Zea mays: one gene and its partner. The protein of the gene in region 2 binds, or shares a complex with, the protein of the main gene of each other region. Links are inferred from orthologs where the notes say so. Each region holds a gene or a part of one and is shown on either strand. Other genes may lie near its edges.

Region 1 (10,730 bases), on a different chromosome or scaffold from region 2:
TGCACGCGAAGGTATGCTATGTTTTTGGCTTATTGACAACGTTTCCAGCTTACTGGTTTTGTTGAAACTGTAAACATATTTTGATGTTTCATAATCTAAGTGATCCAGACTATCTAGTTTTACCTCTTAGCTCTCCTGTCCTGCGTCCACCCACGCAGACACCTCTTTTCTTAGGAAATGTATGAAACTAACAAGCAAAAGGAAATAAAAAAGCTGTTCGTGGGATTTGCCTTTCAATCACACGTTTGTTTTAGACTCTTCTTTAATGTTGTTGTTTTTTTTTTGCTTTGTTGGTTGTTGCACGAGTGAGAATCACACAACGACTAGTATCTTTTCCGTGTATATGAATTAGTTGTGATTTCTGTATGTTATTTAGTCTTACGATTCTTACCAAGTCTTACCAGTGGATTAAACATTTTCTTATACTTGTTTTCAGCTTGGTGAAGAACTTTGGTTCACAATAGGGGGGCAACATATTCCTTTTGGTGCATCACCACAGGTACATCACATATCTATTTTCTGAAATAAAAATATAACTTTACATTGCCCTGATTTGTCTTTTACTTGAATTTCTTCTGCAGGATGTCTGGACTGACTTGGGTCGTCCTTGTGGTATCCATCAGAAGCAGGTCAGTTTTAATTGAGGCATTAGAGTAGAGATTTCACATAATATGCATTTCTTTGAGTTGCCAACATTATTTAACATATGACATGTTAAACTGAACCGGTTTCCTTGTGAATTTACTTTTTTTGCTTACTCATGGAAGCATTTAGATAACATTTTAGCTTATACAGAGCTATTGGAAGCATGAAACTAATCCGTATTTCTGTGACATATGGTTAGGTTTTGTTTGGTAAAGATCAATATAAAAAGAATGACATTCTCTCTGGAATCGTTGGTGCATTCTCTGCTGGAAAGCTAACTATGTTTGTTCTCCCATCTTGCAAGGTGGACCAAATGGTCATACACTCCGCATCAGAAGCCAGGCCTCGGACGACCCTTTGTGGAGATTACTTTTACAACTACTTCTCACGTGGAATTGATATCTTATTTAATGGACAGGTGTGGAGTATTTCATCACACTAGGATTTGTGCAACACTGTAAATAGCATCTTTTTTATTGGCTTGGATTTGGAATAGCATATTGACAGACTTTATTGTCCTTGCAGACACATAGGATAAAGAAGTTTGTTTTGCATACAAACTTCCCTGGCCACTCAGATTTCAATTCATATAAGAAATGCAACTTTGTTATATACGACGCTGAAGGTCTGAACTACTTGTAATAAAAAAATAGTTTGCTGTGATGGAATAATCCAATCCAATCATCCATCTGCTCTTTTCTCAGCTGAAGGTACATGTCAGCCTAATAATGCCTCAAAAAATTGCATAACACCTAGTACAAAATGGGAACAAGTCAAGGTATGGCATTCTACATGACTTATTAACACTGTTGATGGTACCACTGGTAGTCCTTGATGTGTTATTTGCCTTCAGAATGCCGTTTGTTTTTTGCCATGTAGTTCTAAAATTATCATCTTTGCTTTGAAATGCCTTATGCTACAATTTTTGCACCCCTTTTTCATCTTATTTCGTTGGCTTCATGGATTACTTTCATGAATCCTTTATATCCTTCTTAAATAGTGAATGTTAAACTTATGACATAATAATGATATACTAGGTTTTATTTTGCATAGTTGGGCTGTTAGCATAATCACACTAATGTTCTTGCACTAAGAATGTCAGCTTTGCCTTTGCTTTTTCTAGAGCACTTACCTTTTAAGTAGATATTTGTCTAATCTGTATTATCAACCTAGCAACGCTTCAAGTGCCGGTATGCTATCTTATTGCGTGCCATCTGTTATATTTTTCTGTTCTTTTAACAACCCTTTGGTATTACTATATTAGGAGATCCTCGGTGACTGTGGCCGAGCTGCAATCCAGACACAAGGCTCCATGAACAATCCATTTGGATCAACTTTTGTATATGGTTATCAGAATATCGCTTTCGAGGTGGGTGTTATTAGATCACACTCCAAATCTGTGTCCCCCTGTGTATATCAGATGTGACATCGTGTTATTTTTATGGGTCAATAGGTGATGAAAAACGGATATATTGCAACTGTCACCCTCTTCCAATCATGAGGTACGCAATGTGGCTTTTGCCCATAATATGCACATCTCCAGAGCACGGAGCATGGACTAAGTTAACTGTCGAAGTCTTCCATTTTGACAGTGTGCCACTACATGTGCTGCTGCTCTGAGCTCTGGCTGCAACAATGATGGTTAACCTGCAGAAAGGAAGTATGCCGTACTTTTGTGCTTCAGCAGCAGCAATTTCGAGTCGAAGCCAACTCTATGGGGCCTGGTGACGGTGCTTGGTTTATGGAATGGGATGCAGCTGCGCAGTCGATATGGATCAGCACCGTGACTTGTATTTGTGCTGTACATCCCGGCCGTTGTACATGAACTAACTGTACCCTGTGACCTCACCTTGTGTACATAAATGGTCTTTATTTATTGGAAAAGAAAATGTACATACTGCCATGTGGTCGCCTAATGGAACTGTGCTAGCTAAACATCTCATGTGGGTACTGATATGATTTGTCCAGTAGTTTGATATTGGTTCCAGTCTTTCTATCGTTGGTGGACTCGAGTGGAGGGCAATGTTGATTTTTGGTTCAACTTTTTTCTAACCAACTTTTATAAGAATCTAGTTGTAGAGAAAATATGGCTGTGAGAAAAATCTGAGTATTGTGGAGATTACGTGCTAGGGAAGATAAAGTGGTCCAAAGGGTTCAGGATATAGAAAGCGACGGTTTTCTGTATTCACGTTAATTTTGGATGGGTTTTACCAAAACAATTATAAACGGGCTGAAAAGTTGGGGTATTTGGGTCTGCAATAGCTTTTGGTGGCTAGAAACTAAAAAAAGCCCAAACAAACAGACTACAAAGGGTGTGTTTACAAAGGGTTGCTGCAAGCGACTCCAAGACTCCAAATTGACGACGCTACGGACTACAAAGGGTGTGTTTGGTTAAGACTAGGGTTGGATGAAATACTCGTGACTCGTTGGTTCATTCGGTTCATGGTCAGCTCGAATCGGTTTGTTTGAATTTTTTTATGAGCTGAGTTGACATCCTAGCTTGGTTCCTTAACGAGCAGCTCGTTTTGTTAACAAGCCAGCTTAACGAGCAGCTCGTTTTGTTAACAAGCCAGCTCGTGAGCTAAACGAACTATCACATTTCATCAAAACAAAGATATATACATATCATACATAACTATTGATGAACATGTTATATGTATGTGGTGTTTATGACATATGAGTTAAACTAATAATTGATGAACTATGTCTATGTGTTAAATTGATCTATGCAAATATAACTGTGGGTTAAACTGATGTGCATGTGTGTGAATTGATGAGTGATAAGTTATGTTATTTTGGTGTTACATTGACATGGTTTGTGAATCTGGATATAATTATTATTTTCTATTGTTAAATACAATTTAAAATTAACTAAAAATTGATTATTATATACGTATTGTTTTTGTACTCTGGTTCGCGAGCTAAACGAGTCGAGCTGACTCTGTGACTCATTAGATTAACGAGCCGAGCCAACTCTTTAGCTTAACGAGCCAGCTTGAACTCAGACAAGCTGACTCGATATCCAGCCTTAAGACTATCTCCAACAGTTTATATATTATTATTTTTATATTCAAACTTTATTTTATGAACAGTACGATCTACCATGTAAAAAGTGTAAAACAATATTTTACATAACCATATAGATAAACTTCTGGACACGGTCTAATACTCTTTTAGATTCCAAGATAGTAATGGTTTTAGCTCTTAATATTTATGTCTACATTTAAATGAATGATAATAAATATAGACACAGATAAAAACACATAAATCAAGTATTATATGAAATCCACTAATCCTTTAAAACAAATTTTATTTTGAGCAAAAATACATAAATCAAGTATTATATAAATTCACTAATCTTTTAAAACAAATTTTATTTTGGGACAGAGAGATTACCATCTTATATACATATTCCCTCCATTTCTGTTACATGTCGGCGATGTCGCATCAAATTTATTTGGTCTAATAAAAAATCAAATTTATTTGGTCTAATAAAAAATCCTTTTGGACTGTGCCAATGATGTTTTTAAAAAAAACATAGTTTATAATACTATACTTTATAATTGTTATAACAATGCTATAGTTTTGTACAGCTTAAAAAACTAGAAACAATATTTAGATATAAGACCGTGTCCGGTTCACACATATTGTTACCATAAACAATGTTTTACATTGTAGATTACGTTGTTTATAGAGAAAAATTTAAATATGGAGATGATGATGGGTAATCTACTGAAGATAGTCTAACATTGCAAACCGTGGTATTTAAGCAAAAGCTAACCATACCATAAAATTTTTATATTGTAATGGAGTTTACAATACTCCAAAAAAAATGGTATCAAGAATTCCATACCATGAATTTGAAAACATAGTTTTTAAGAATACAACCAAACACCTTATAACATAAAACCAAACACCTTATAACATAAAATACTCCAGTATTCATATAAATCATGGTATTGTTTAGAAATTATGAGAATACTTCTAAACAGGTCCTTATAGTTCCACAGCATATGAATTATATATTATGAATCATATATTATGAAAGTATTTTTCATAGTAAATCTAAAAACATAAATCTTATGTCATGAATCTATATACTTTCTCTAGAAAAACGTGAAAACGCAGAAAAACCAAAGAAAAAAACTGAGATGCCGGCGGTCAGTTTAAACTGCACGACAAAGATAGTACAGTTCCATTTTATGACAGGAAACATGACTTCAATATGCACTAGATGAAGAGCACATGATTATCAGAACAAGCAAATGAGAAGCATGGATGGAGTCCAGTAATTTCCATTCTTATTTCTCGTACAACAACTCGATTAAACAGGAAGTGATTTGGAACTGTGGAAGTTCTGCCCCCCGCTTGCAGGACTCTTGTTTACTGGTCCTCCTTGCCATAATTGTAGATGATCTCGATCTACAAGGCACAATTGCCATTAGTACAACATTTTGGTGTACAGAATCTTGCTACATGTACCTGAAGATAGTTCAGCAAAGCTAAACAAGATAATGCCGCCATAAAAAACAAGGTTGTTTTGTTAACTCTATAAGATACTCTGTAGCATCCAAATAGAGGAAACGGTGCTATGAAAAACGAACTTGGCGAGCAAATCAGTGTGTGTGGGAGGGGGGACGGGGTAGGGTAATGTGGCCATAGAAGATGAAGTCATTTTGTAAACTTTAAGCCAATAATATGATACTATGGCAGCAGAGATGTTTGGCATGGTTCACCCCATCACGTCCAAGTAGAGGATACTCGGTTATGAAATAACTGTAAAAGCAACTACATTTGCGTAAGAATTGGTAAAAGTTCCTGCGATGAATTTATAATTTTGGCCAAAGCACTGCAACTAAAAAAACCCGCATTCCAAAGGGGCCTTAAATAAAAACTCTAGCTCGCTCATCCATTGAGAAATTACAGATGAAACCTTAAGTACTGCTACATCCCTTGCGTTCAAACTAAGTTAGCTTAAACTAGGAACAGTGTACTTTTTTAAGCGATCACAGGAGACAGAGAAGCAAAATATTATGAACGGTAAGGATTGTGGCATTGTAGTGAATCAAATTAGCATAACACAAATATATTACATCGCATAAAGAGTGGTGTAAGCTGTGGTCTTACCCCTTGAGGTGGAGGGGGGTTTCTTGTGAATTTAGTGCCGCCTGGTGCCCATGGAACTGCAGAGATAAGAAGAGGCATATAAAGATTAGGCTTTAGGGTTCCAGCAGAGACTTGCCTCGCACATTTGGTAGTTCATACACACTAGCACAATCATTCTATATAAGATTAAAACTTTGACGACAATCAACTACAAATAACTTTTCACTTGCATCTCATCTCATCAAATAGGATTATAACCATCGGTGTTACTAGGGCTGAACAAACTAATACCCCTAGCAGGTATAAATCTATAAACTTCTGCAATAACTCTGAAAGGTTCACTATAAAGTAAATTTAATCCATATGCAATGGTCTATCCAAACAAAAGCGTTGCTGCCATTCGACATGATTTGATGCGAAACATTTCACTGGTCAGAAAGGATAAGGAGAACAAGAAAAAAGCTTACCAATGTAGGGATCGGGGTGCTGGAAGTTCCTGTACTGAGCCTCCGCATCGTCAATGAGCCTATCGACCACGTCCAGGTTATCCTGCACCACCAACCCCACGCGAAACCCAACATCATATAGAGCACCAGACAGAAGCAAAACGTGGGAGGCGAGGTCTGCGGAAAGGGATCGGCAGGAGGAGGCCTTACCACGTGTCGGTTGGCCTCGAACTTGTCCCGGAGATCCGACGCCTGCGCGGGAGAGGGAGCACGAGGTCAGATCGAGATCCAGATCAAGATCGAGAGGGAGGCGGAGGGGGAGGAACTGACGTCCTGGTAGAAGAGGTGGCGGTGGACGGCCCAGTTGAGCGTGTCCTTGAGCGCCCTGCGGTAGAGCAGGCGCACCCGCTCCTTCTGCGCCGCCCGCCGCGCCAGGTACCCCGCCGTCGACGCCATAGACCTCGCCGCCGCTCCTTTGTCCTTTCCTTTCCTTTTTCTCTTTCCTCTCGCTGCAGTAGTAGTCGGGTTGGGAGGTTGGGGGTCGGATTCGGACGCGGGGTCACGGCCTCTCAGCTGTCTATGGGCTGTTTGGGCTTCTAGCGCGCTAGGGCCGGCCCATTTTGCTTCCCGTTTTCTTCCCGGTCCACTTTATACACTCGTCTTTCTTCCCCCTCTCTGCGGTGGTGTGCACACACATCTTTTCTCTTTTCTTTTTTTCGGACTATTTCAACGTGCTTTTTAATAAAAAAAATTTTATATATAGTCCGTGTAGCGCGTGTGGAGTATGACGAAAGAAAAAGATTGTATAACCAACTGTGATGGAATATCGGTAGCGATTAGGCGAGAAATTAAGCCGGGGTATTAAAGTCCAACGTTTCACCTCTATTAGTCAAGCTGACCCTGCGCCATCAAAATGCTCCTTTTTTTTTGGTGTGTGTGTGTGAGTGTGACTGTGGTGGTGGTGTTCCCACAGCCAGCCAGCTTGCTACTTCAACATGCTACAGTGCTCTGGCTTTGGTGCTGTGAAGATAGCAAGTTCAAATTTCACAGCTCGTAGTTATTAACTAGGGCTGGATATCGAACTAGCTTGACTCGTCCGACCCTGAGCTTGGCTTTGGTGTTGTGAAGATTGGGTATTGTGAGGATTACAAGCAGTTCAGATTTCGCAGCTTGTAGTTGTAGTCAATGGCACATGCAGCGCACTTCTTTGAAATATGTGTGATGGGCAATAAGATGGAAGGCGCACTGCTAGCTACGGTTGAGTAGGAACTCTCTCTGAATTTATTATACTAGTTTAGAGAACAGTTTTTAGATGGTGATGGCAGCTGGGCAGATCCACATCAGCGAGGCCCTAGCAGCAAGCAGAGAGGCTCGTCGCAGGCGGTGAGGCTAGTAGGAGCACAAGCAAGGCCGGGATGTCGGAGGCGGCATGGCAGGGAGGAACACGGTGGCGTGGTGAGCGGACCAGGTCGGCGTGCGATCGGAGGTGAGAAGGGGGCTCTGCCAGCGATGACACGGGGCGGTTGGGGCTAGCGATATCGGCAGCGACTGCGCACAAACGAAGATGGCGGTAATAGCGGAGGACGAATAGTCTGGTACTCTGGTGGGTGCTCGCCTGCTCGGTGCGTGGAGGAGAAAAATGTGATGGGTACAAGCCTATTCGAAGAGGTAGGGATGGGCGAGGGGTCGAGGGCACGCATCAGCACGAAACGAAATCTGTATGTCCGTGAAGCACGGTCATGTGGGATAGAAAAATGGAGTGGATTGGACAAGAGACAGACGGTGGCCCACACGGTCGATTTGTGCGTTGGTTTCTCCGGATAGTTTTCCAATGACCTAGGGAGGAGGACTGTGACGTGTGGAGGACTGCGAGACGTGTCACGATACCGTCACCCGCGCATGCGAGAAACGCGGAGAACGCTTCAAAGCCTAGCTGCTTTTAACTAGAAGAGATACTAGGAGCTTTGAATATATATATATATAGTTCCTGACTTTTCAGGGACCTAATACGAAATCCGATATAAAGGTCACCTCCACACACAAATATATATAATTATATATATATATATATATTGTCGAATATTTGACGCATAAAAAATATTATACACTGTTTTGAAGTTTATAAGATAACAAGTGTAAAATATAGCCAAAAACACTTACTTATTATCTGATATTATTAAAACTATCTTCTAATATTTTGTGATACAAAGTCATCGCTTATATCACTGAGATCAATCTCATCCAATAACTTTTTCGATATGTAGATTCGGCAAGTCATTTAACCTATCTTGAGTTATTGTTGATCACAAATAGTTCAAAAAACATTTCAATTTTAAAAAGCTTCTCTCCACCCATGCACCATCATGTGTATATTAAATAATACTCTTATTGTATCAAAATAGAATTCGTTTTGTTTTTTAGTGGATTCATCATCATATAGTTGAATATAAACATAAAAATCAAGAGCTAAAACAAATACTATTTTAAAACGGGTGGAGTATTCGATAAGTAATTGAGGCATTACTTTAACAATCTAAACGAGACTTGTCGATAGCGCATCGATCTTTGCGTATTTGTGTCTAGAATAAATAAGTTTAACAAAAAAAATGGTAGCGGCTAGTAGTTAGGGGTTCTCTGTTTTTTGGACCCGATGCGACCGCACCCCGTCAGATACGGCCCTGTGTGTGTATATATTCCCACTGATGGACGGAAAAAACAGCACGTATAGTATCCCTTGTGATGAGGCGTGAGTTTGACATGGATGGATGGTTCCTGGATCCCTACTGCATGTAAGCAGATCGATGAGAGCTAGAGAAGGTCTACGGCCACACCGTACAAGAAGTTGTTAGGAGTTGACATATATTAGCTAGCCCTGCATGTGGCCACACGTACGGTGGTTGGAACAGTAACCAGCTAGCATGGCATCTCGACGAACCAGTGTGTGTGTGTGTGACAGTGTGTGTGTCCAAGGAGATCGATCATCACAGGGCTACGTTTCAGAGTTTGGCCCCGGGACCATGAGCCTGCGCAATGAAAGCTGAAGCTGAAGATGGAGAAGGAAAAGGAGAAGGAGAAGGAGAAGGAGCGGCACGAGAAAGACGAAGGCAGCGACAGGCGGCGAGCAGGGTTTTTATTAAGGGAAATTTGGATCCATACCATTAAAAGATCACCACTTTGGATCCATACCATTACTATCTCACTTACATGTGGGTTCACATGAGTCAATGACATGTGGGGTCCATGGTATATATCTAAAGTTTGGATCTTTTAATGGTATAGATCCAATTGTTCCTTTTATTAATGGCGCCCGCGGAAGACTGAAGAGGGGAGAGACGGATACTGGAGTGGAGTACGCACAGTAGTACTGGACACTGAAGAAAAATACTAGTGTACTACGCAGGAACACTGACACAAGCGCCTCTTCTGATGGTCCCAACGGGCCACGACCGTGTTTTTACGGTCAGTGAGTGAGCGTGACGGACGGGAACGACGACGGTCATCATCAGAAAGCGGTCGTCTCTCGGTGCATGAAGCAAAAAAACAAGCGGGCACCATTATACTTTTCAAAACAAAACAAAACAAAAAACAGAAAAGGCCGTCAACACAGCTGCTACTCGGAGGAGGAAGAAGAAGGAAGCTTTGCTCCTCGCACCCTGCGCGGCCACGATTTGCTTTGCTCCGCGACCGCGAGACAAAGCTGCTGGTGGAGACGCACCCGGCAGTCCGGCACCTCTGCTAGCCCGTCAGGTTCACCTAGGGTGTGGTTGGTTACGGAACAAATGAGGATGGAATAGAATGGTCACTGGGTTGAGATGGAATGATTCCTCGTATTGTTTGGTCGAAAGGATGAGATGATCCTTTTTTTTGTTAGAGGTATACCTGTCCTTTGTTTGGTTCGAGAATAGAGCACAAAAAAATGTTTGCAGTCATTGCCCCCATCTCATGATATGTTACAACTAATATTAAGTCCACAAAACACACATATTATTAATTCCACACAATACATAATAATATGTCCTAGCATTACACATAATATCAAGTTTAAGGCTTCCACAAAATCTACATGTTCAAGCAAACTCTGCTGACATACTTAGACCACATTTCATTGTTTGACGCGATTCGAGCAAAAGAACTGTCCAAGCCTATCTACTAACTGCCCTCACACTCCTGGGTACACATAAATCACAATTCATTGTTCGATGTGGTTCAAGCAAAAGAACCCTCCAAGCCTACCTACCAACTGCCCTCACACTCCTGGGAACTTTTCACTGACGAAATTGCGAGCCCAGATTAACTTGTGGTCGAATGGCAATTTGTTGAAGGCTCTAGCAATGTGAGGGTGCGCCACCAGATAATTGAAATAAAGAGATATGTGGGTCTGCTCAAAACCTGCAAAGTTTAGCAAATTGTTAAAAAATATGTTACAATAGTTTTCAGGTTTTAGGTTACAACAGTTTTTATTGGACAAACAGATCAATAGAAAACAGGCATGAGCCTTATGCAAGTGAATCAGGTAACCAAACTCTGAAGAAC
Region 2 (9,671 bases):
GGGACCTTCTTGCCCACACGGCGCCCCTCACCCAGGAACAAAAAGTCCAGCTATTCACTGCAGGCCTCCCAGAACGCATCAAAATTGATGTCGAGTTGATGGCACCACGGGACCTTAATCACGCATTAAGCTTGGCGCGCGCATATGAACGGCGTTCTCAAGTGCTTGATGGCAACGTCATAGCAGCACCCACCAAGCCAATGAGACCGCCCCAACGACCATCAGTTCCAATCCCAGCAACACAACCAACAGTGCCAGCCACAGGCAATGCAGCGCAGCAGCGACCATTCAAGAAGCTCACATCTGGAGAGATGGCAGAACGCCGAAAGCTAGGGCTTTGTTACAACTGTGATGAACAATATGTTCGCGGCCATCGGTGCCCCCGGTTATTCTATTTGGAAGTAGCTGACTTCGAAGAGGATACTGCCACAGAGGAAGTTGATGAGGAGCCAGAACCAGTTATCTCTCTACATGCTCTGACAGGCATCAGATCAGAGGACACCATGCAGATTCAAGTAAAAATAAATGATAAATTGCTCACTGCATTACTGGATACAGGCTCCACACACAATTTTGTCAACCTCAACACAGCCTTGTCATTGCAATTGGAAGTCTGTTCAAGCCGAGGTCGGGTAGCTGTAGCAAATGGCGACAAGATCGACTGTCATGGCCTTGCCAACAGTCTCAGACTATGTGTGGGTCCAGATATTTTCACCATGGATGCTTATGCTATTCCACTGGATTCCTTTGACATCATCTTAGGGGTTCAGTTCCTGCGCACTCTTGGTCCCATCCTTTGGGACTTAGCCAACATGAGCATGGCGTTCTGGAAGAATGGTTACCAAGTTTTGTGGAAAGGGTTGAATTCTACTCGCAGCATGATGCACAGGCCACTTTCAGCACGTGTTTCAACATCAAACCCGACACCAATGATGGACTCCCTAGTCCAGCAATTTGATGATGTTTTCTCATCCCCAACGGGTCTCCCTCCAGCACGACCATGTGACCACCGCATCCACCTGATGCCAGGCACAGCACCAGTGGCGGTACGTCCTTATAGATACTCTCAGCTGTAGAAAGATGAACTGGAGGCGCAGTGTGCAGCAATGCTGAAACAGGGAACAATCCGACATAGTACATCAGCCTTCTCCGCTCCAGTCCTATTGGTTAAGAAGGCAGATAATTCTTGGCGCTTCTGCATTGACTACAGAGCCCTTAATGAGCGCACAGTGAAAGACAAGTACCCTATACCAGTAGTTGATGAGCTCCTTGATGAACTCAACGGGGCCAAGTTCTTCACCAAACTAGATCTGCGCTCAGGATACCATCAGGTACGGGTTCATTCGGAGGATATTCATAAGACAGCCTTTCGGACACACCACGGCCATTTTGAATTCCTGGTCATGCCATTTGGACTTTCAAATGCGCCAGCAACCTTCCAAGCCCTTATGAATGAAGTCCTGGGGTCGTACCTCCGTCGTTGTGTATTGGTATTTTTTGATGATATCCTCATCTACAGTGCATCCTGGTCTGAACACCTTCGACATGTCAAGGCGGTACTCGAAACATTGCGCAGTAACCACCTTTTTGTTAAACAGTCCAAGTGTTCCTTTGGAGCCACCTCAGTTGCTTACTTGGGTCATGTGATTTCAGCAGACGGGGTAGCCATGGACAATAGCAAAGTGGAAGCGGTCTCCTCATGGCCGGTTCCCCAATCAACACGTGGATTACGTGGCTTCTTGGGATTGGCAGGCTACTACAGAAAATTCATCAAAGATTTTGGGTCTATTGCAGCACCATTAACAGCACTACTAAAGAAAGAAGGTTTCAAGTGGGGTTTGGCTGCTGACACGGCATTCCAGGAACTCAAAAAGGCTCTTTCTACAGCCCCAGTGTTGCAGCTGCCCAACTTCGATCAAATGTTCATTGTGGACTGTGATGCTTCTGGTTCTAGATTTGGGGCGGTCCTGCATCAAGGATCTGGGCCCCTGGCATTCTTTAGTAGGCCGTTTGCAGCCCGTCATGTCAAGCTCGCAGCTTATGAACGTGAACTCATTGGTCTCGTTCAGGCAGTTCGTCACTGGCGATCATATCTCTGGGGTCGTCGATTCACAGTGCGCACAGATCACTTCAGTCTAAAATTCATGCTCGACCAGAGATTGTCAACAGTGCCTCAGCATCAGTGGATCAGCAAACTATTTGGGTTTGACTTTATCGTGGAATACAGAGCAGGCCGATTCAACACAGTGGCAGATGCCTTGTCACGAAGGCAGACTACCGACGGCATGATTGCCACGTTGTCTAGCCCCACCTTCCATTTGTATGAAGAGTTGCGTCAGGAGTGCACCTCTAACCAAGACTGTCAACGCATTTGTACTCAGATCAAAGACGGCACCCTCACTGAACCATGGCGAATGGTTGATGGGCTCATTCTGCATGGCCGACAAATCTTTGTGCCGCCAAATTCATCCCTGCTGCCGGCCATACTCGGTACAGCCCACTCGGCTGGTCATGGTGGAATCCAGAAAACATTACACCGACTACGGGCCGATTTTTTTGTTCCCAAAGATAGAGCCTTGGTAAGGGATTGGGTTAGGGCATGTTTAGTCTGCCAACAAAACAAAACTGAAGCTCTCCACCCAGCTGGGCTGCTGCAACCTCTTGAGGTACCCTCCCAGATTTGGTCAGACATATCCATGGACTTCATAGAAGGGCTTCCAAAGGTGCATGGCAAATCAGTTATCTTGACAATAGTAGATCGATTTTCCAAATACTCGCACTTCATTGCCTTAAGCCACCCCTATACAGCAACAAGTGTAGCCCGAGCTTTCTTTGAAGGGGTGGTTCGCCTTCACGGTTTTCCCCAGTCTATTGTCAGTGACCGTGACCCCGTCTTCACTGGGAACGTTTGGCGAGAACTGTTCAAACTATCAGGTGTCAAACTTCGGATGAGTACAGCCTTCCATCCACAAACAGATGGCCAATCAGAAGTTGTTAATAAAACCATCGCAATGTACCTCCGGTGCATCACAGGAGACCGTCCACGGGCATGGGTTGAGTGGCTACCATGGGCAGAATACTGCTACAACACAGCTTATCACTCAGCATTGCACACTACCCCATTTCGAGTGGTTTATGGCAGGGATCCTCCTCCAGTGCTTACCTACCAGCCGGGCTCAACAGCAAACCAGACAGTTGATGAAATGCTTAGTGAACGTGATCTATTCCTTAGTGAAGTTCGAGACAGGCTGCTGCAAGCACAAGAACATGCTCGGCGATTCTATGATGCACATCATCGAGACTTGGATTTCTCAGTGGACGACTGGGTTTGGCTCCGCCTGCTCAACCGTCAAGCTCAGTCCCTGGTGCGCCGACCCAAAGGCAAGTTGGGACCTCGCTATGCTGGACCCTTCCGTATCACGGAACGAATCGGCAAGGTCGCCTACCGCCTGGAACTCCCAACGGGAGCACGCATCCATGACGTCTTTCACGTTGGTCTCCTCAAACCATACAGAGGCGTCCCACCAGTGCTACCTCCTGCTCTTCCAGCAATGGAGAATGGTCGACTGCTGCCCTCACCAGAGAAGGTGCTCAAAGCAAGAATACAACGAGGTGTCTGGCATGTTCAGGTACAATGGAGTGGAACACAGCAGACAGAAGCTACTTGGGAGCCATTGCAACAGTTCACGTCTTCCTACCCCCATTTTCAGCTCGAGGACGAGCTGTTCTCGGAGAAGGGGAGAGATGTTATGGTGGGTAAAACATATGAAAGGCGGCCCAAGCAGCCCATAGGCCAGGCCACGCCATGAGATCAAGATTAAAGGGATAAGGATAAGTTTGTTTAGATTAGATATCAAAGGAGAAATAGTAGGAGTTTGTTAGAGAATAAATAGGGGCGGCAGCAGTTTATGTGCGCCTGTACTGGACTATATAAAGTCCTTAGTTTGTACCTAGGAGGATTAGCAAAGATCAATCTAAGAAGAGTATTGCTCCTTGCCACATTCTGTCTCAGCCGTGTGCCAGCACGGCTCCCTCTCGCCCTCAATCCTCAAGGCCTCGCCCTACTACCCACTCATACAACCTCAGAAGTCGAGATCATTACACAACTAGTCATGATTCGTCGTCGGCCAGACCGACTAGTTGAGCCCAGTCGGTCCTAGTCACCCTATATATTCCAGGACCAAACACTATGCATACAAATATACAATATAAACCTATTATACTATATAATAACATTAACAAAAAAGCAAGGACCAATACAACATGGCAAGAAGATTCAGCCCTTCAGGTTCAAGGACATATGCACATATAAACATACACCACAATCAGATTTTTATACCTTCAGGTTCAAGGGCAGTAGCACAACAACAACACCACACTAACTATAGTCTACTAGAGCAGCTCACCAGAGCATCAGGTGGCTAGGAGGGTTGCATAAAACAGAGCAGAGTATCAGAGGGGCAGTGACAGCAAAGCAGAGTAGAGACAGGAGAGGGCGAATCGCAGTGGGAGAAGACAGAGGAATTCCGAGGTTCGTGCCAAGTTCTGGTGCCTGCTGTGTCTGCCTTTTTATGAATCCTGGGAAGTGGTATGCTAACCCTACCAGGCCAAATTGGTAACCCACTAGTTGCCTCAGAGCCTAGTGGAGCAGACCCGCCCAAAGAGGGCAGGCAGTCAGGCACCCTGGTCATCCCCTTCATAATCAGATGACTAATCATGATTTATTGACGACTAGTCAGACGACCAGAAATCTAGTCAAGCTAACCTTGGTACCCATGGTAGAATTCAAGGGACTGGCTAGGCCAACTAATCACGATCAGTCGAAGATTGCTGGTAAAATTTTGCTTGTGTTAAACTGATAAAGAGAATATGATAAACCAACAGAATAAAGCCCTTCTCAATTCTGCTGAGAGCAAGACACTCAAAGTCTAAGTGAACCATTAACTATTTATGCAATGGTTTTCAATTTAACAGAATAAAATATTTTTGTCAAAAATGTTAGAACAAGAGGCCACACTTTCCTTTGATCTCTTCTCATGCAATAGGTGGAATACTTCCAACCAACAAAACCATAATGTTGACAAATAAAACAGACTCAAGCCTCATTAACAGGAACAAGAGTTGGACAACAAGAGGCCACACTAACAGCTGTCATGAACCCTGAGACTTTTAACCTACATCAATCCTTGTAAGCCGTTCTTATCAATTTAGGTTCCCAAAAGCACATGGAAAACAGATAAAATATCATGGGAAACTATCACGAACCCAATTCAAATAACCCAACAACGATCAGACTCAATCAACCAAACTAGTTTGTCAACCAGTATATATAGATATAACACGCACACAAAAACAACAATCTAACGCTGAAAATGTTAATGTTCCATTTCGACATCATCATCCGTCACCGTGAAGCAATGCAGAGCACCAGGAACAAGTTTTTCTGTGCCACTCCAGCAGATTATTTGCCCTCGGAAACAAAACCAAGCGAAGCCTCACCTCAACTCGCCTCCTCTCGGGCGAGCAGAGGCTCAGCCAGCCATGGGGTGGTTGGCGACGTACTCGATGGCCAGAGGGAGTGAGTCGATCTTGTCAGCCTCCATGTCTGGGATCTCGAGCTTGAACTCCTCCTCGATGGCCATGACCACCTCGACGGTGTCCAGGCTGTCGAGCCCCAGATCCTTCTCGAAGTGCGCCTCCGGGGTCACCTGCCGCCGCCCGCGGCCACAGCCTAGGGTTAGTAGGATTTGTGGGGCTCGACGCCATCGTGATGCGGGATTGGGTGGAGGGTTCGGTTACCTTGGAGGGGTCGATCTTGGGGTGGCTCTTGATGACGTCGAGGATCCGGTCGATGACTTCGTCGCGGGTGAGGTGCGCGTCGTGGGAGGACATGGGCCGCGCGAGCCACCGCCCCAGCGCGTGCGGGTGGGATGCACCTGTCCCAGCGGCGGCGAGGGCGAGCGAAGGGGAGGGGGAGAGGCGGATGCGGCGGAGGATCGCCGGACGGAGCGCTGCCGCCGCCATTTCTCGCTGTGGGTTCGGATTTTACTGGCCGGTACACAGAGGAGGGAACGAACTGACGCGTGACTCTGCAATCCCACCTCCTATCTCAGAGTCATCGGCTTCTTTACCCTCGTTATAGTTAAATATGGGTTTCGTCAAAATGACCCTCGTTCGAACGAGCTTCACTCATCATTAGCCCGTTGTACATACTTTGTTACGGTTGTTATATATCTGTAACTGCAATCAACCCTAATTAAGGATTTTAGTGATTAAATGACAAAATAGATAAGGTTTCTAACAAGTTGTTTATAGTGTATATTCAGTGTCAATAAAGATAAAAGGAGTAACAACTTGAATTGAGAAAGGAAAAAGAAAGTATCAAGGACAAATGAAATATATAAAGTGGTGCTTTGAAAAGTTTCCATGTGAAGATATGTAAAACTTTCTATATTTCTTGAGTCGCGTGATCTATTTCTTTCTGGGCAGTTTTCGCACAGGTAATGATGTTTACTATTGCTCAAGCCTCTAAATTCAAAAGCTCTTTTGAAAAGCAAATTCTTTGGACACTCTGTGGTTCGACTGATGTCAGGTTTGAGATACGAAGAGTCTTTATATTGAAAAGTAGCTGAAGTTGACTTCAATTGAGTTGAGCTTTTTTTCAGCTGAGTTGAACTTGACTTCAGCTGAGTTGAGCTTTTCTTCAGTTGAGTTGAACTTAACTTCAGCTGAGTTGAGCTTTTCTTTGATTGAGTTGAACTTGACTTCAGCTGAGTTGAACCTCGGGATAAAATCTCGTATCTTGTGCTCTTGCTTGGATCCGTGATTATGTTTTTCTAGCTCGCAAGATAGGCATATAGGTTTGTTCTTCGTGTGGATCTCGTGGTGGATTAACTCTTATATTTCTCATCATCCACACTTAGTTTATACCTTGTGTCGGGGACCATAATTAGGGGTACCCTCAAGACGCCTAATTCTCAGCTGGTAACCCCCATCAGCATAAAGCTGCAGAGGCCTGATGGGTGCGATTAAGTCAGGGATCAGTCCATACGAGTGACTCGATCACGCTTCACCCGAGCCTAGCCTCGGACTCGGGCAGCCGACCTCGAGGGACTTCCATCTCGCCCGAGGCCCCCCTTTTAACGGCGGACACATCTCCGGCTCGCCCGAGGCCTTGGCTTCGCTAAGAAGCAACCCTGACTAAATCGCCGCACCGACTGACCGAGTTGCAGGGGCATTTAACGCAAAGGTGGCCTGACACCTCTATCCTGACGCGCGCCCCCCGGCAGAGCCGAAGTGACCGCCGTCACTCCACTGCTCCACTGACCGGTCTGACAGAAGGACAGCGCCGCCTGCGCAACTCCGACTGCAGTGCCACTCGACAGAGTGAGTCTGACAGGCAGTCAGGCCTCGCCAGGGGCGCCATAGGGAACTCCGCTCCGCCCGACCCCAGGGCTCGGACTCGGGCTAAAACCCGGAAGACGGCGAACTCCGCTCCGCCCGACCCTAGGGCTCGGACTCGGGCTAAGACCCGGAAGACGGCGAACTCCGCTCCGCCCGACCCCAGGGCTCGGACTCGGGTTAAGACCCGGAAGACGATGAACTCCGCCTCGCCCGACCCCAGGGCTCGGACTCCGCCCTGGCCTATGCCGAACGACTTCCGCCTCGCCCGACCCAGGGGCTCGGACTCGGCCTCGGCAACGGAAGACAAATTCGACCCCAGCTTCGGAGGAGCCCCCACGTCGCCCGGCCTCGGGCGCGGGCCCGCCACGTCAACAGGGAGCGCCATCACCACTCTACCCCGAGCCGACTCGGGCCGCAGAGAACAAGACCGGTGTCCCATCTTACCAGCTCCGCCAGATAGGCAATGATGGCGCCTCCCAAGCTCTATGACGGCGGCGGCTCTCAGCTCTCTTACGGAAGCAGGTGGACGTCAGCAAGGACTCGACCGCTCCGACAGCTGTCCTTCCGCCAAGCTCCGTTGCTCCTCCGACAGCCACGACATCACGCCAGCAGGGTGCCAAGATCTCTCCGGCTGCCACATTGGCATGTACTTAGGGCGCTAGCTCTCCCTCCGCTAGACACGTAGCACTCTGCTACACCCCCCATTGTACACCTGGATCCTCTCCTTACGCCTATAAAAGGGAGGACCAGGGCCTTCTCAGAGAAGGTTGGCCGCGCGGGACCGAGGACGGGACAGGCGCTCTCTTGGGGCCGCTCGCTTCCCTCACCCGCGTGGACGCTTGTAACCCCCCTACTGCAAGCGCACCCGACCTGGGCGCGGGACGAACATGAAGGCCGCGGGACTTCCACCTCTCTCACGCCCGTCTCCGGCCACCTCGCTGAGAGCACCTAGAGGGGGGGGGTGAATAGGTGATCCTGTAAAACTTCAAAACTTGAGCCACAAAAACTTGTTAAGTGTTAGCACAAGTATGGCCAAGTGGCTAGAGAGGAGTCAAAACACAATAACCACAAGAAATCAATCACAGAGATGACACGGTGGTTATCCCGTGGTTCGGCCAAGTACAAAAACTTGCCTACTCCACGTTGTGGCGTCCCAACGGACGAGAGTTGCACTCAACTCCTCTCAAGTGATCCAATGATCAACTTGAATACCACGATGTTCTTGCTTTTCTTTTCTCAATCCCGTTTGCGAGGAATCTCCACAACTTGGAGCCTCTCGCCCTTACAAAAAATGTTCACAGAGAATCACAGAGCAAGGGAGGGAATGAGCAACGCACACAAGACCTCAAAAAATCAGAGCAACACGCACACAAGCAGCAATAAGAGCTCGCAACACAACTCAAAGAGTACACAACTCCACAAGAGCTCTATATGCTATCACAATGAATCGAATGCGCTAGATCAATGTCTTGGTGCTTAGAAAGGTTGTAGGAATGCTTGGTGTTCTCCTCCATGCGCCTAGGGGTCCCTTTTATAGCCCCAAGGCAGCTAGGAGCCGTTGAGAACACATCTGGAAGGCTATCCTTGCCTTCTGTCGTCGGGCGCACCGGACAGTCCGGTGCACACTGGACACTGTCCGGTGCCCGATTTGTTTCCATAAAACGCTCATCCGACCGTTGCTTTCTGATGCAGATCTGCGCACAGTTGGCGCACCGGACATGTCCGGTGCACACCGGACAGTCCGGTGTACCTTTCCGACCGTTGGCTCGGCCACGTGTCGCGCGCCGATCGCGCGGCCGACCGTTGGCCCGGCCGACCGTTGGCTCACCGGACAGTCCGGTGCACACCGGACAGTCCGGTGAATTTTAGCCGAAGTCGCCGGAGAAAAACCCGAGAGCGGCTGGTTTGCTCCACGCTGGTCTGGCGCACCGGACACTGTCCGGTGCACACCGGACAGTCCGGTGCCCCAGCCCGAAACAGCCTTTGGCTGTACACAGCCACTCTCCACTTCTTTTCTTTTCTTCTTCTTCCTGTTTCTAACACTTAGACAAGAATATTAGTACACAAAACCAATGTACTAAGGCTTAGAAACATACCTTAACTTGTGATTTGCACTTTGTTCATCCATGGGCATATTTTCACATTTAAGCACTTGTGTTTGCACTCAATCACCAAAATACTTAGAAATGGCCCAAAGGCACATTTCCCTTTCAATCTCCCCCTTTTTGGTGATTTATGCCAACACAACATAAAGCAACTAGAACAAG

The links. The genes of interacting proteins can lie anywhere in the genome.
Region 1: the proteins of Acyl carrier protein 1, mitochondrial (region 2) and NADH ubiquinone oxidoreductase B22-like subunit are in contact, whole or in part, in a cryo-EM structure (PDB 8BEH), measured with the Arabidopsis thaliana proteins. The link is inferred for Zea mays from reciprocal best matches to the Arabidopsis thaliana genes MTACP-1 and CIB22. Residues at the interface, in NP_181990.1 of Arabidopsis thaliana: Asp78, Ser79, Leu80, Asp81, Val83, Glu84, Val86, Met87, Glu90, Glu91, Lys94, Leu95, Glu96, Ile97, Asp99, Lys100, Ala102, Asp103, His118, Met120; in NP_567970.1 of Arabidopsis thaliana: Glu18, Arg21, Ile22, Tyr24, Arg25, Arg26, Leu28, Lys29, Leu32, Arg38, Phe41, Arg49, Phe52, Asn53, Tyr84, Ile85, Val86, Pro87, Trp88, Ala89.

Annotation. Positions count from the first base shown.
Region 1 is NC_050100.1:62,642,549-62,653,278, forward strand, and holds NADH ubiquinone oxidoreductase B22-like subunit, read right to left. Parts: upstream 6,745-10,730; 5' UTR 6,654-6,744; coding exon 6,528-6,653; intron 6,450-6,527; coding exon 6,408-6,449; intron 6,301-6,407; coding exon 6,219-6,300; intron 5,829-6,218; coding exon 5,773-5,828; intron 5,068-5,772; coding exon 5,029-5,067; 3' UTR 4,650-5,028; downstream 1-4,649. Other genes in the region: uncharacterized, read left to right, coding at 1-11, 437-499, 582-629, 950-1,063, 1,171-1,270, 1,350-1,423, 1,910-2,014, 2,099-2,146. UniProt on the Arabidopsis thaliana protein: Accessory subunit of the mitochondrial membrane respiratory chain NADH dehydrogenase (Complex I), that is believed to be not involved in catalysis. Complex I functions in the transfer of electrons from NADH to the respiratory chain.
Region 2 is NC_050102.1:20,660,019-20,669,689, reverse strand, and holds Acyl carrier protein 1, mitochondrial, read right to left. Parts: upstream 6,118-9,671; 5' UTR 6,025-6,117; coding exon 5,800-6,024; intron 5,709-5,799; coding exon 5,532-5,708; 3' UTR 4,999-5,531; downstream 1-4,998. UniProt on the Arabidopsis thaliana protein: Carrier of the growing fatty acid chain in fatty acid biosynthesis. May be involved in the synthesis of short and medium chain fatty acids.